2 linked regions of the Rhinolophus ferrumequinum genome follow. Each later gene encodes a partner of the first gene's protein in a complex. Links are inferred from orthologs where the notes say so. Each region holds a gene or a part of one and is shown on either strand. Other genes may lie near its edges.

Evidence for each region. The genes of interacting proteins can lie anywhere in the genome.
Region 2: the proteins of GIPR (region 1) and GIP are in contact, whole or in part, in a cryo-EM structure (PDB 7RA3), measured with the Homo sapiens proteins. The link is inferred for Rhinolophus ferrumequinum from reciprocal best matches to the Homo sapiens genes GIPR and GIP. Residues at the interface, in NP_000155.1 of Homo sapiens: Gln30, Thr31, Ala32, Leu35, Tyr36, Trp39, Tyr68, Trp71, Leu88, Trp90, Arg101, Arg113, His115, Asn120, Gln130, Arg131, Leu134, Glu135, Leu137, Gln138, Tyr141, Tyr145, Arg183, Ile187, Arg190, Asp191, Pro197, Gly198, Pro199, Tyr200; in NP_004114.1 of Homo sapiens: Tyr52, Ala53, Glu54, Gly55, Thr56, Phe57, Ile58, Ser59, Asp60, Tyr61, Ser62, Ile63, Ala64, Met65, Asp66, Lys67, Ile68, His69, Gln70, Gln71, Phe73, Val74, Trp76, Leu77, Leu78, Lys81.

Annotation. Positions count from the first base shown.
Region 1 is NC_046298.1:41,979,502-41,987,018, reverse strand, and holds the start of GIPR (gastric inhibitory polypeptide receptor), read right to left. Parts: upstream 3,003-7,517; 5' UTR 2,996-3,002; coding exon 2,924-2,995; intron 2,534-2,923; coding exon 2,434-2,533; intron 1,865-2,433; coding exon 1,757-1,864; intron 1,232-1,756; coding exon 1,128-1,231; intron 363-1,127; coding exon 259-362; intron 61-258; coding exon 1-60. UniProt on the Homo sapiens protein: This is a receptor for GIP. The activity of this receptor is mediated by G proteins which activate adenylyl cyclase.
Region 2 is NC_046304.1:34,201,425-34,208,957, forward strand, and holds the start of GIP (gastric inhibitory polypeptide), read left to right. Parts: upstream 1-4,525; 5' UTR 4,526-4,547; intron 4,548-5,399; 5' UTR 5,400-5,430; coding exon 5,431-5,504; intron 5,505-6,741; coding exon 6,742-6,888; intron 6,889-7,456; coding exon 7,457-7,533. UniProt on the Homo sapiens protein: Potent stimulator of insulin secretion and relatively poor inhibitor of gastric acid secretion.

The sequences.
Region 1 (7,517 bases):
CGCAGCATGAAAGATGTGAACAGGTTGATGTGGACGTAGTTGCGAGTGCAGTGCAGCCGCCTGCGGGGTTTGGGAAGCAGTCTGGAGACCCCTGGAGACCTGTCCCCACTATCTAGAGCCCCTTAAACCACCTCATGGCCCGTCTTCCCACAGAACCACCATTGGGTGCTTGTTGATGGTGGAGTCTGACCATTCCATCTTACTGGGCAAAGTGGGGCCCAGTCACTGCCGCTGCCGCTCCAGGCTGGGGTGTCCCACCTGAAGAAACTCAAGATGAGCAGGGCCAGCAGCAGTGTGGCCAGTGACAGGGAATAGCCGACAGTGTACACAATCTGTAGCCGTTCCAAGATCAGCCTTTGGTCCTGTGGGGGTGGGGGACAAAGGCACAGAGCTCAGCTCTTCCCCCAGGACCAGAAGGGGCTAGGTATCTACCAAATCCTCCCCCACCAGTTAGCCTCTCCTATCCTGTCTCTTCTGCTCTTTGTTCTTGCCCAGCACCCCAATTTTCTCTCAGGGATCCAGCTACTCTTATTTGAGTGGGACTGACTTTACCACTCAGCTCCAGGGCTGGATATGTGACCAGCCAATCAGAGCATTATATCTACCCCCCCACGTCCCCATCGCCATGTCACACACACACACACACACACACACACACACACACACACACAGAGTGATTAGTCCAGGGTGGGCATATGACCCAAACCAGGCCAATAAGAGTCAGTCCTGGGACATTATTATGCTGGAGCTATTGAGAACGAAGTTCAATCTCCGCAGTGTCGCTTGGTTGGTGGGATGTGAGCCTGGTGCTAATGGGGAACACCTTTTCCACCCCACAGAAAAGATGAGGCCAGAACAGAAAAAACAGGCATGATATGGTGAGAGACAAGAGATTCCTGACATCATTTGAGCACCTAGATCCAGCTGTGCCTGAGGCTGTAGCCTTCTACTTTTCAATCACAGAAGCCAGTACATTTTTTTCTCCATCATCAAGCAAGTTTAAGTTGAGTTTCTGTCCCTTGGAACCCAGAGCTCTGAACAGTACAAGGGGTTTCAGGCTCGGTATGAGGATGCTGCCTTTTCACCTTTCCTTGGATGTTCAATCTGAATCTCTAACCTATTTTTACCTGAAAGGTCTCATTCTTCTCTGGGTTCTCACACTGAGAATGGTCTCTCCAAGGTCCCCATTGGCCATCACTGCCACACTGGCGGAGGACAAAGCCCGCAGCCACTGTAGGGGATCAGAGGCACAGAGAAAGAGATGGAGACAGAAAGACCAACTGTGATAAAAAGGCAGAGAGAGAGAGAGAGAGAGAGAGAGAGCCAAAGTGATGGTGATGATAAAAACCCTCATATAGCATTTTACACGTATTAATTAATATTCATAAGAAGCCCATGGAATAGGTACTGTCATCAATCCCATTTTACAGATGAGGAGGTTGAGGCATAAAGAAGTTAAATAAACTGTCCTGGGCCACATAGCTAGTTAGGACAGGAAGACCAGGATGCCCAGAGACAGACTCAGAAAAGAGAAAGTAAGAACCCGGTGGTCCTCAGAGATACAGAGACAGAGACAGAGGAGGGGCATTAGGTGACAGAGCCAGGATCAGGGTGACCCAGCCAGGGTTGGACATACAGGAGGAAACACCCAGACAGAGAGGAGCAGGAGATGGGGTGTAGGTGAGCTTTGAGGGAGTGGTGTCTGGGGCAAGAGTTAGGAGCTGTTTGTTTCAGGGAGAGCCTGGGGGCCACTCACCATGGCGATACCAGGGCAGGTACCAGGGGCAAGACGCACGGGCAGTGGCGTTAGGTGCAGCGTAGTCCCAGCAGACGTACATGTCGAAGGACCCGTTGCAGGCGAGGCCTGGGGTGGGCGTGGGGGTCAGATGTCGGGGGACCTACTGCACCCTGAGCCCAACGCTTCTCCCCACCTTACACACAACAAGCCCGGCCCTAGCCCCGCCCACCTAGAGTGGTCCATCCCTGCTTCTCCACAGCTCTGTCCATCGCACCCCGAGGCCGCGCCCATCCTTCCAGCCTCACTCTCGGCTCTGCCCCCACCCCATGCAAGTTCCCAGTGCACGTGCTTCCCACTCTGCGAGGCCCTTCCTAGGCTCCACCCCAAGCCCCACCCCCTTCGCGCTTCATTTCAGGCTCTACCCATTCAGTGCAGCCCGACCCAAAACCCTGCCCATTTCAAGCTTCTTTCCAGGCCTCTCCCACTAATCCGAGTTTCTCCCCAGACCCCACGCTCTCAGCTCTAAGTCTTTCCCACCGAGGCCAAGCCCACCCAGGCCTCTCCAACCCAGCCCGCATCTACCCCAGACATCTCCTCTCTCAGGCCCCGCCCGTTAGTCCTAGGCCCGCCCCAAGCCCACCCCTCTCAGCCCCAGCCCTTCCCATCCACCCAGCCCACCCCTTCCCCACTCCTACCCGCTGGGGACTCCGCTGTCTCCAGCGTCTCCTGGCACTCCCTGCGGTAGCGTTCCCAGCGCTGGTACAGCTCCCCCGCCGTCTGCCCCTCAGAGCCTGTCTACGGAAAGAAAGAAGGGAGGACCCCCCCGACCGACACCCGCTCCCAGATGGTGTGGGCCAGACACCCGAGAGGGACTTAGAGGGGGGGCTGTTCGCTTTGCCCAGTCTTGGGTGGCTGAGAAACCTCTTCTAACTCTTGTGGGGTACCTAGAAACCACCAGGGGAGTTGCTGTGGGGGACTGAACACCTCCAGGAAAATTAGGGGAGTGGCTGGAAATCATCAGGAGGATTTGAGGGCGAAAGAAGAGAGACTAGAGAAACAACCATCAAAACTTGAATCTTGGCAAGTGGGGCAGTCTTAAAACTCTCTCGGCAGTGGGGCAAGACTTAAAACCGCCCCCAAATCTCCCTCCAAGCCTTGAACTCCTATAGCAACTCGAGTCCTCACCTCTGCCATCCAGAGCAGTGGTCCCCACAGCGAGAACAGCAGTAGCAGCCGCCAGGACGGGCAGTTGGTCATCGTGAGGGCGGCGGGGCATGGGGAGCGAGGAGGTTCGGTCCTTCGGACGGGGGAGCAGCTCGGCCTGGAGGGTCCAAGAGCAAAATCCGGAGCCTCTGCCCTCCGCCCTAGAGCCACTCGGCTCCGGAATTCATACACGCGGACTCAGAGCCAGCGCCCCCCGCTGTCCACACACGTGAGAATTTGGGGGGAGAGACGCGTGAGGAGGGGGCGAGGCTGGGATTCGACACGTGATTCCGGGGCTCACCCCCAGCTGTTTCTGGAGCAGCGGCTGTGGAAGGGGGGGTGTTTGCTGAGGGCGCGGTTGCCCTAGAGCTGCACTGGGCGGAAGCACTAATGTCAGAGGGAGTCTAGACCTAGAGACTACGGGGAACCTGGGGACCATCTTGGAAAGGAGGGCACAGAAACCGTCAGGCATGGAAATGACCCTCGGAGTTCCCACTCTCCGAGCCCAAAGGGTTTTCAAATCGCAGATAGGAACCCGACCTTATAAACTTTCCTCGCTGTGGATAAAGCCTGAGTGGATTGGACAACCCTCTCCTTAGCGACTAGAGAGGCGTCAGACCCTGGGCTTAGGTTTGTAGGGACCCATATGTCTGGACATTGGTCTAACTCCCAACACCCCCCATCTAGCACCATGCAGGGAAAGCGGGGGCCGGCAGGATCTCACATGGAGCCCCAGAAAGACAGACGCGAAGTCAGAGATGCATGAGACAGAAATATAGAGACAGAGATACATGGAGATAGAAGAGACGCACAGCAAGAGACCAGAAACCGAAAGACAGAGGCAGAAATGTGGGCTAGGAGACAAAGAGAAGAGAGACATGGGAGAGAGACACAGAAAATGGAGGAAAGAGAGATGGAGGTACAGAGCTATCAAGAGACTAAATAGAAATTGGGATGGCCGGCAGCCGGCGAGAGCTGCCGTGAGCTGCTGTGAGCAGTTGTTGACCGACGACAGGCAACCGACTGCCTCAGCCAGGGGGGAGCGCAAGGCTCATAACACCAGCATGGGCCAGGGAGCTGGGTCCTACACAACTAGGCTGAGAAACAACGGCTTGACTAATAACTTATGTGGACATTGTTTTGGGCTTGATAATTTGAAAATTAATAAAGTGAATGGTCATCTTGTGAACACTGAAAAAAAGAAAGGAATTGGGAGACAGAGACAGAGAGGAGGAAGAGATTGTGGGCACAGAGAGACAGAAAGACATAGTCACAGGCTAAGAAACAGAGAGAAAGATAGGGACCCAGAGACTTGAGGGGGACATGGGGGCTAGGATAGGGAGAGCCCTCACCTGTCCTGCGGCTGCCTCCGCTGCTGCCTCCACTGTCTCGCCTGGGCTCTGGAATAGGTGACAGCCTGTGGTGGTGGGAGGGGGCGGGGCCAGGGCGGGCCAGGGAAGGAAGGGGGGAGCTCTGGGGCAAAGACCCAGAGCAGGGGGCCAGTCACTTGTGAGTATCACAGTCACTCAAGATCACGTGGGAGAGCAGTCACGGAGTCATCATCCTAAGGATCCCCCCAATACACAGTCTCTCATAGTGTCCCACCCAGCCATCGCCCACAGAGCTGCAAGCAGTCACGCAGTCAGTCACAGGCACAGTGTCACATATAATCCCATTCACTTAGCCACAGAGAGGCTCAGAACAGAATCTCACAGACTGTTCCTCACAGTCATTCATAGTCATACAAGCTACAGTCACACCCAGAGAGCCAAGGTCTCTCACCCAAAGGTTGACAGTCATTCACAATGACACACAGCAACATATATGGGGCGTGGACTCCTCCACTCACACAGTGACACAATCACAACGTTCCATAGTTCCAGTGATATTGTGTCAATCACACATTCATGGAGGTCACATCACCAGCTGTCTCCCCCACTGGCCTGTGTGCCCTGTGAAGACAGGGCCAGGGCGTCTCTGTCACCACTGGGTCTTCAGCGTCATTCAGCACAGGTTTGGGCACAGCAGAAAGGCTCAAAGAATGACTGTTGATGAGATAAATGAACAGTTATATGGTTTCTCACATAGTCATATACTCCTTTTTTTTTTTTTTTAATTTAAGAAGGGCGCAGCTCACAGTGGCCCATGTGGGGATCATACTGGCAACGTTGTTATTAACCCCATGCTCTAACCAACTGAGCTAATCAGCCACCCCGATATACTCCTTTAATGACACAATCTGAAGGCTACACACAATGTTACACAACCACACACATTGTTTCACACTTCACATAATCACCTACAGGGTCTACAGTCACATCCCAACAACACACATTCCCCATCACTGAGGCACACACTTTCACAGGCTCCCAACGTCACCTTGTCACACTGTCACCCTCACAGTCACATCAAGTGCCATGGTTGTACAGATATACCACTCTCTCCATCACAGACTCACCCGCACGCACAAGGCACACGGGATCACATACCAACATCCCCCAATCACACACAAACCCACAGCCTCACATGGTCTCATGGCCACAATCACACTGACTCACACACCTCACAATCTCCACTTCCAGTCTCTTCCTTTGCCCTAAAATATGGGGCACATCTGTACATGTAAGAGGTAGGACTTAGACAGGGAGTCCCAGCTCTCAGTACTCTCATCCCCCTTTAACACAAACCACCAATTCATGCACATTAATCATGCTATTAACATTTGTGAGCACACACTCCCCTGAGACTTATAAGATAAGTGGGTCAGAGGCCAGTCTGCCCATTTTGCAGAGGAGAAACTGAGGCCCAGAGGCTCCAGGAGGGGCAGGGAGTAAGGGATGGCGTGAGGTCCAGCACCAAAAGGAGACAAGTTGGGGGAGGGGAGTGACTTGGGGGGGTCCTGGCTTCCTGGCCTCCAGCTGGCCTCCCTGCTCTCTGCCCTACATTCCTGGCGCCCTTTGGGTCCTGGGAAAGGCTCAGTTCACGGGGAGAGGGAAAGGGGTCAGAGATTGCCCAGCACCTCGGCACCTCGGGGAGAGGCTGGGATTGGGAGGGAGTCTCTCCTTGGCCCCCAGAGGGCCTAGGGGTCTCTCTGGTGGGACTGGGAAGGTGGAGGGGGAAAGGCTGGAATGGAGGAGGGGAGAGAAAAGAAGGGAGGGAGAAGCAGAGGAAGGGAATTGAGGTGGTGAGAGAGACAGGAAAAGAAACCAAGAAAGATCGAAGACAAACAGAGACAGGAAGAGACAGAGACGAGAGAGACCAAGAGGAGGAGACAGACCAAGAGAGACAAATGAAAAGAATTCGAAAGAGACAGAAATAAGGAGAAATGGAGAGAGAGAAACTAGGAGAGAAAAAACGGACCAAGAGAGGGAGAGAGACAGAGAAGAGGTATAAACGGAGAGACAGAGATATTGAGAGATGAAGATGGGGAGGGTGAAGGGAGAGAGAGCCTGAAAGATGAGGTCTTAGGAGAGACGACCGAGTCAGGAGCCATGGCTCATAACCCCTCAGCACCACCCCCATCAGCCCCTCCAGGAAAACACAGGGCAGAATAGCACTGGGGGGGGGGGCATGGAGGGCAGGAGGGGAGATGCCCAGGTCCCTGAGTGGCCCCCTGCCCGTCAGCCCTCCTGGGTCCTCTTCAGTCTCCCAGCGTCTGGGGAGAGGGCAGCACGGCCACACGGGCACTCTTTGGATCTTTGGAGAGAATTCCGTAGTTCTTGTGCTCAGAGCTTCCGGAAACTGCAGGTAGAGAAGCAACTGTGCCCTCTCCTCTGCCCTTCTCTCTCTGTTGTCCATTTCTATCCAGGCCACCCTCTCTCTCTCTCTCTCTCTTTGATCTGAATTTCTCCTTCCTTCTTTTCTCCAAGACCCCCCTCAGTTTGTCTATCTTCCTCTCTTGCTTGCAGAGCTGTCTTTTCTCTTTCCTCCAGTTTCATTCTGCTCCTCTGCTTATTTCTTTTGCTCTCTCTCATACTGAGATCAGCCTGTTTTTGCCTCTCTTTACACTTTCTCCTTTCTCTTCTCCTTTTTTTCCCATCTTCTTGCTGGGTGCCTATCTGTTTCTCTCTCTCCATTGCCTCTGGCCCTGGGTTTCCAGGCTGTTGTCCCCTTGCCCCCACCCCAGCAATGACCAGGCCGTGCACCCCCACTTCAGGATGCAGTGGTGGGGAGGAAGCTGGAGGGCCTGTGCCTCCCCATGGGGCTGCCTGGCCAAGCAGAGCGTGTGGGAGCAGGCAGGGGCCTGGAGTGGCAGCAGATGGTGCAGGAGAAATGAGGCAGAGAGGGATGGAAAGAGGGGGCGCCCCACGAAGACTGATGCCAGAAATGGGAGGTTGAGATGGCCTCCTGAGATTCAGGACTGCTGAGAGGAGGCCTGAAAGAAAGAGACCCAGAGACAGAGAGAGATAGCAAGAGAGACAGAGACTGAAAGAGACACACCCACAAACATGGGAACCCAAAGAGAGGCACAGAGACAGAGACTCAGAGAGAGAAGACCTAGGAAGGGGAGACTGAGAGCCTGTGACACAGGCACAGGGGATCCAGTGAGACAGAGAGGGACAGTGCTCCAAAGACA
Region 2 (7,533 bases), on another chromosome or scaffold:
GATGGGCTGTCACCTCTGGATTTAAATTTTTAAAGACATTTAGGCTTTCATCGTGGTCCATACCCTTGCTCTGGGGAAGAAGCCACGTGGTGAGCAGCCCTGTGGAGAGACCCACATGGTGAGGAACTGAAGCTCTCAGCCTCCATGCGTAAGAGTGAGCTAAAAAGGTGGTCTACAGTGTGGGAGGGGCTTGCTGAGATTGCAGCTCAGCTGACAGCTCCCTGAGACTCGGTGAGAGACCCTGAGCCAGAACCACCCGCTACACCCCTCCCAGATTCCTGAGCCTCCGAAACTGAGATAATAAATGTTCCTCATTTTAAGCTGCTAAAATTTGGAGTTATTTGTTATGCTACAAAAGAAAAGTAATGTATCAAGATCTAATATAACATAGTGTATCTTCTAAGTATACATGATTCCCAGATCAATTTTTTGAGGCAGGAACTATTACCTCCCTCCTTTTACAGAAAGGGAAACCGAAGCACAGAGACGGTAAACTGCTTTAATCACCCTCCTAGTCAGCATAGGTGGATCAGTCTCCAAAGCCTTCACTCCTAATATGGAATTTCACAGCCTTCCATGTCCCAGGTGCTGGGCTGAGTCAGCCTGGCTTTAGTATTTCATCTTATTTAATTCTCATCATAGAGTGAGATGGAGGAGATCACTCCAGAGAAAACCACCAGCCAGCACTCTGGCAGGACGCCTTAAAGTTAACAAGACACTAACTTCACACTTACCTATGAGGTAGGCAGGGCAGATTTGTGTTCTTATTCCCGGTTTAAAGATGGCCAAGCTAAGGCTTAGAGTGGATAAGGGTTTTGCCCAAAGCTGAGCATAACTCAGGAGTGGTGCGTGGGTGGGTGGCGCTGGGGTTTGAATCCTCCTCCTTCTCTTTCTTCACCCCACCGGGCGACTCCCTAATCTAATTAACGGGGTTGGGGGTGGGGAATGTTTTCTGAAGTTGCAGAAGGCCTTCCCCATACCCACTGCAAGAATGTGTATGTGTATCTTGGGAGTTCATTGGTGACCCTAGAAACTGCTCCACTGGGGACCCTGAAACTGTTCCATCCTCATATCCCCTTGCAAGGAAAAGGAAGGGAAAGCCCTCCCTTCTTACTCCTCTCTTCCTTTCCCTCGGATGTGCTCCCAACTAGAAGAGAGCTCAGGAATGCTGCCCAGCCCTTCGGCCTTTTATCCTAAATGTATCACCAGTTCTTTCCTTCCCCACAATGAGAACTTTGTGAATACTCCCCCCAGCTCTAACTGTGCACTGCTCTTCTCCTCCCATGGATTAGGCTGCAACTACTAAGCGCCAACCTCTTTTTCTTGACAAAAGCAAACAAAATAGCCTTTGAAAATAGCAAGAGGGATTGAGGGTAGAATTGAGAGGGAACTTCCAAACTGCTTCCTGTAGCAGATGGCCAAAAGAAGCTGTAGGTAGTATATTCTTTCTTGAAGATCCTTCTGGAAAGTTGGATCTTCCATGAATGGTAGGGGGGCTGGTATGGGAAAAAATGTTTGGGATCATGACTATGTGATGTGTTTGGGGAGGAAAGGCTGCAGGTAGTCCTTCTAGGAATCAGGATGGACCAGATGACTCAGCAAAGTTTGTGAGGGTTCGAGTTCTTGTCTCTTCTACAGGAGAGAATAAATCTGCCACCTGTTGTAAGAGAGATCAGAGAGGGGTGTCTGCGCTCTGAGTCAGCCAGGGAGCATGAAGACCAAGTGAACTTCAAAAGCAGAGTCCATGGCAGGGAGACTGAAGCCAGCCTTCTGAGTCACCCTCTCCTGGCTGCAGAGCTCAGCCTGGAATGTCTACAGTGGTCCTGTCAGCCTGGGGGGTGGTGACTCACCATCTTGAGCTGGAAGAGCCAGCAAGTCCCAAAGGCTCTCCTGCTGTGACAGTTCTCATTCCTGGGGCCTCAATTCAGAAGCCAGGAGGGTCTGGAGAGCAGGAGCCTGGGTTCTCTTGCAGCAGTACTGCCGTCACTCCCTCACCACACAGACTCCCTGACTTCTAGGACTCCTCAGACATTTCCCGAACCATGCCCCACAACGCTTTCCACCTGTCTGGGCCGGCAGCCTTTGTATCTGGGCTTTGGGCCAATTGGGGGTGTTCTCCTGCCTCCCCATCCCTCCTGTCCTCTCTGACCCCTCACATCCTGGAAATTCTCCGCTGTGGACTGGGGCTCTGCCCCCTCCTGAGCTTCCCCTCCCCACCCTACCCTTGCACTGCACTGGATTCTGCACACCAGGGCACTTTTCATGGCGGCACGGACTGGCTGACCAAGGCACCAGTGGGATTTCCTAAACTATTTTGATCAAGTCCAGCTTCCCAAGGCCATTATTGCCATTCCTGAGCCTCCCAATATGCCTTGTGGGGGACCTGTGGGTTCCCTGGGAGTTTAGCATTTTCTCTGATCTCCACATCCCTCCCTCCCCCAGGGCCCTGGCCACATTCTTCGTAGTCTGTCCACTGCATGGCATGAGAACCAGAGATCAAAAGGAAACAGGGAGGGGAGCTGCAGAGAGTTCCCCTCCAAGAGGTTAAGTGGGGACTTAAAGCACACTGGCCTTCAGAGCAGCCCACCCCCCAAAACAAATCCGTAGAGCCCCAGCCAGAGGCTCAGGACTGCCAGGGCCCACCACACGATCTTCTTTACTCTGGTTTGACATCAGACTTAGGGATCCCAGGAAATGATGTCCACCCTTCTTGCACACCTTCTGCCTCCAGGGTTTTGACGTAAACCCTTCTGAGCCCATTAACTATATTGCTCAACAGGAAGCAGGATCACAAGCAGCCCCCAACATCCCCTTTGGAGGCCAAATCTGAATGGATCTCTAATCTCTACCCGTTGATAGCTAGGAGATGGAATTTGGAGAGCCTGCCCAGAGAGAAGCTTTTCTACGTGGTGAAAAATGGGTGGTGTGCGGGCGAGGTCTCTAGGAAGCAGAGGTGAATTGCCCTCCTACTCTGGTTGCCTCTCATCCCACACAAGCACTTAATTTCATGCTGGAGCTGATCCCAGGCTGGGGAGTTCACCTGGAAAGGAAAGTGGCCTTTATTAGTCCCTGGAGCTATCCTGTTTCCCCGAAAATAAGACCTAGCAGGACAATCAGCTCTAATGTGTCTTTTGGAGCAAAAATTAATATACGACCCAGTATATTTTATTATATTATATTACATTATATTATATATTATATTATATTAAAGACCAGGTCTTGTATTATAGTAAAATAAGACTAGGTCTTATACTAATTTTTGCTCCAAAAGACACATTAGAGCTGATTGTCCGAGTAGGTCTTATTTTCGGGGAAACATGGTAATAGGCAGAACATGAACTTGGCTGTTTATGGTTGAAAGTACCCAGGACAAGCGGAGAAGGGAGAGCCTGCGAAGGAGGCATTGGGAGTCCACCAAAAATGCAGTCTGTGCTCTGCACCTTCTAGACTGAGAGCCGCTGTACTAAGTACTAAATACTTGTAGGAAGGCAAAGGGAGCAGCACCCAAGTGAGTCTCCAGGCTGAGGGGCAGACACAGCCCTTAGCCTCAGGAAGCCTCTGTAGGATGGAGAAGATCTAGCCCCTAGCTCACACCCCTGCTCTCAGAGAGCCCCCAGTCTGATCAAGGCGACGAAGTCCTTGCCCTGGAGAGCCCTCCAGTCTGACAGGCAAAACACGACCTCAGTGGTCCCCAGAGACCGGACCACCGATTTCTCTTATATAGGACAGTAGTGCATTTGGAGAGGATTAGATCTCATAAATCTTTACAGATAAATAGAGTTATAGCTGCCCCACCTTCTTCTGAGTTCCCCAGGTGTAAATGTGCCTCTTTTCCCTACTCTATTCTGCTCCTAAGAAGAAAGACAGCTTGAGTGTAAGTTCTCAGTTCACCTCGTTACCCCAGGGAACCTCCACCTTTCACGTTCCCTCAACCCTCTGCCCTCTCTTTCTTCAGCTTTTTCCACAGCTGGCTGGGACCACCCCCTAGATATCACAATGGGGACATTGCCACATTGCCAGCGCTATGGGCCGCTATCCAGAGCTGAGGTTCAAATGAACGCAGCCCTGCCCACTCCCCCCCAGAAGTAGCCTATTGCCTATGGGAGCGTCTTGCTCCCCCAGTTAGTACCACCCTACCCAAGTCTGCCCTCACTGAAGGTGTCCTTTCTAAAAGAAGAGCGAGACAGAAGAATACTGAGCCCTGTGCCCAGAAGGGAGGAGGGGGAAGAAGAAAAGGGGCACTTAAGGTACCCTACCCACGGGCAGGGCCCAGACAACGGCTGGAAATACCCAAATGTTAATCACCAATTAGCACAGTTCAGGTGAAAAGGGAAACTTTATTACGTGTAAAATGGACTTAATGTGGCGGGAGCTGTGCACTTAATTTCTTGAGATAAGATGCTTTTAGGCTAATCAGCGGGTCTGTGATGCCTGGATATAAAGGAGCTCCAGCAGATTTTTCTTGAGGCAGGTTCCAAAGGGCCAGAAGGTAGGAGGAAGAGATCCCCGCCCTGACCTTCTTCTGGAAGAGCCAGAAAAGGAATCTGGTAAGAGAGCAGCTGGGACAGGGGATGGACAGACACTGGAGAGAAGTGGACTGGGCACCCCTGAGATGCTCGGCACCCTTGCATCTCACTTTCTTTTCCTCTATACAAGAAATAAGAAGTTGGCTCTGATGGTTCGTTTAACACCCAGGTGACGAAGGCAGGAAGATGAAGTCTTGCAGCCTGCTCATCTCTAGTCTAGCTTTGGTTTTTGGGGCTTGGGAAGAAGGTTCTTCACTGCTATTCATCTCTGCTGAAGACCCCCTGGGGCAAGCTCTCGGTAGAAGGGTCAGACTTCAGAAAGAACTTCCTGAGTCGCGATAGAAAAGCCTGGAAAGGGGAGAATGGGATGGTTCTACATGTGGTTTTCACTTAGGGCAAGAGGGCTATGATGATTTAGGTGACAGACAATTTGAGAGCTGGAAAGCTAGCGGGTATGAACTTTGGAGGGCTCTAAGGGGAGAATCTTGCCAAACCACATGCCTGTGATGTCTAGCCATTGGAACCGGGAAGGGGGGCTGCCCAAGCACACGGGTCTTTTCTGCTTTCTTCTGCCTGGATCTCTCCCCCATTGCCCTCTCGGACTCTACTTAAAAACAACAACAACAAAAAGAAGGTTCACCTCTTGGCCAGATTCCATGTTCTTTCTAGTTACCGACACCTCTAATGCTCAGCACCCTTCACCCTCCCCAAGATGCTGCTCCAGCCTCTTAGAAGAGCCCCAAACCTCAGGACTCAGTGTAGCCCAGCTTTCAGCACCCCCACAGGCTCTGAGGCACACCAGCAGTGCGTTGCCGTACTGGCTGCTCCCTCAGCACAGTGCTTCCACCTCATCCTGCTCCTTTTCTCTCTTAGCTCGGGAAACAGTCCTTGGAAGACGGTGGCCATGAAGACATCTCTGCTGCTGGTGTCGCTGCTCCTGGCAGTGGTGTTAGGACAGAAGGAAGAGGGTCACTCCAGGTAGGGGTGAGAAGGGCAGGGGAAGGGCCTGGGGAGATGACTGGGTTCTGGTTTTCAAGGGGGAGGTGAGAAAGGGAGGAACCTCAGGCTAAGATGAAAGAAGCTCGAGGGAAAATCCTGCCAGCAGTCAGAGTGCAAAGCAAGGACGGTACCAGAGAGTACTTATGAGCTACTGTTGCAGCAGGAGAGACTGTGGTTAGATCTCTGGGAGGACTTCTCAGTGGCCAAGTGTCTGAAGTAGATGACAGTATCTCCCTTCCTAATGAAATCCTTCACCATTCATTTATGTGTGCATTGGATCAAATTTTATAGAGGGCTCAGAGGATTTCTGTGGAGTGGTCCATGAAGGTCTCCCGCCCTCATGGAGTGTATAGACCCAAGGGGAAAACAGACAAAGAACCACCTCGCCGCTTTGCAAACTGTCACGATTACTGTGAGGAAAATCAGAGTATTAGGAGGGAATATAGCAAGGGGCTTTGTATTTTGGGGAACCGAGAGAGACTTGTCTGAGTAAAGAATTGGGTCTTCTCAGATGCAAGGCTAAGCCATATGCCTGTGTAAATTCATCGATGTGAACTTGAGGCACGGCTGTCAGAGACATATACGAGGAGAGGCAAGGTCACGTAGAAGTTAACATAGACCTAGGCCAGGCTGCCCACCTATGCTGTGTGCTAAATTAATCTCTCTGCACCCTGGTTTCCTTATTCACTAAAAGAGGTGTAAATAGTGTCTGCCTAAACTAATATAATAGTGAATGTCAATTGCAATTGAACAAAAAAATTAAAAAAGAATAAGGGTGTCGTGAGGATTAGGTGAGTGTGTGTATTAAAGGTTTCCAGGGGCCCTGACTCAGTAAGCGCTATGATAAAAGAGCTCACTATTTAGTGTTCCCTGGGAACCCAAGACCTGAATCAGGTAGGGCCAGGGCAAGAGGAGTATCGGAAGGAGCTATTCAGTCCTTTGGGACAGGAGACCTCCCCCATCCCTCTTTGCCCGGAAGCCAGAGCCACACACTGAGGATACAGGGAGTGGGCCCTAAGCTGAGGATAAAGTCCTGGGGGCTTGATGCATGGACAAGAGGGGGGTTCTCTATAAAAGCAGACTCCCAAGTAACGAGCTGGTTCCTTTTCAGAGGTCGGCCTCCTGTCAGCGACAATCATTTATGCTGGCATTGGGATCCCCTGCACCCCTTCCCTGGCTTCCTGGTTTCTCTCTCTCGCCCCTCCTTGCCCCTCAGATTCCACACTAAGGCTAGCAGCTCCCAACCTCGAGGCCGCAGGTATGCCGAGGGGACTTTCATCAGTGACTACAGCATTGCCATGGACAAGATCCGCCAACAAGATTTTGTGAACTGGCTGCTGGCGCAGAAGGGGAAGAAGAATGCGTGAGTTCCCCTTGCCCAGCTCTACCTTCCGATGTCCAGCCCAGGTGTCCATTGTGGCCACACAGCCGTGTGATGCACACTCCAGGTGGCGCCTTTCGATTAGGCGACGATGGGCAGCTGGACATCATGGTGGCCCTGGTTTGGGCAGCAGTCCAGTCTAGGGGCAGGACTAGGGCAATTTCCAACTCTTTTCTTCTAAGGGGAGAGGTTGGAGAAGATGTGTTGGGCTCACAGAAGATCCCCAGGGATTGGGGATAAAGGCAATGGACTTTATCCAATGACAATGCTGCCAATGACTTTTTGGTGGTGGCCACTTCAGACTTGGGAATAGGATAAACTGCCCTCATCCTACTTCCTTCTCTTTCCCTGCCCACGCCGTTTGGTCAGCATGGTAGATTCTGAAAAGCTGTTCACTAGCAGCTGAAGATGAGTAGTGGGGAGGTTGACTGGAGAAGGAGGTACCTTCTGCTCTTTGGGTTGATGTACCAAAAGATTCCAGCATCTATGGACTGGGGAACATCTGGCATGGCCCCCAACCCCACTCACGCCCTAATCTTTATCTTACCAGCTGGAAACACAACATCACGCAGAGGGAGGCCCAGGTCCTAGAGCTGGCCCATCAATCTAACAGGAAGAAGGAGACCA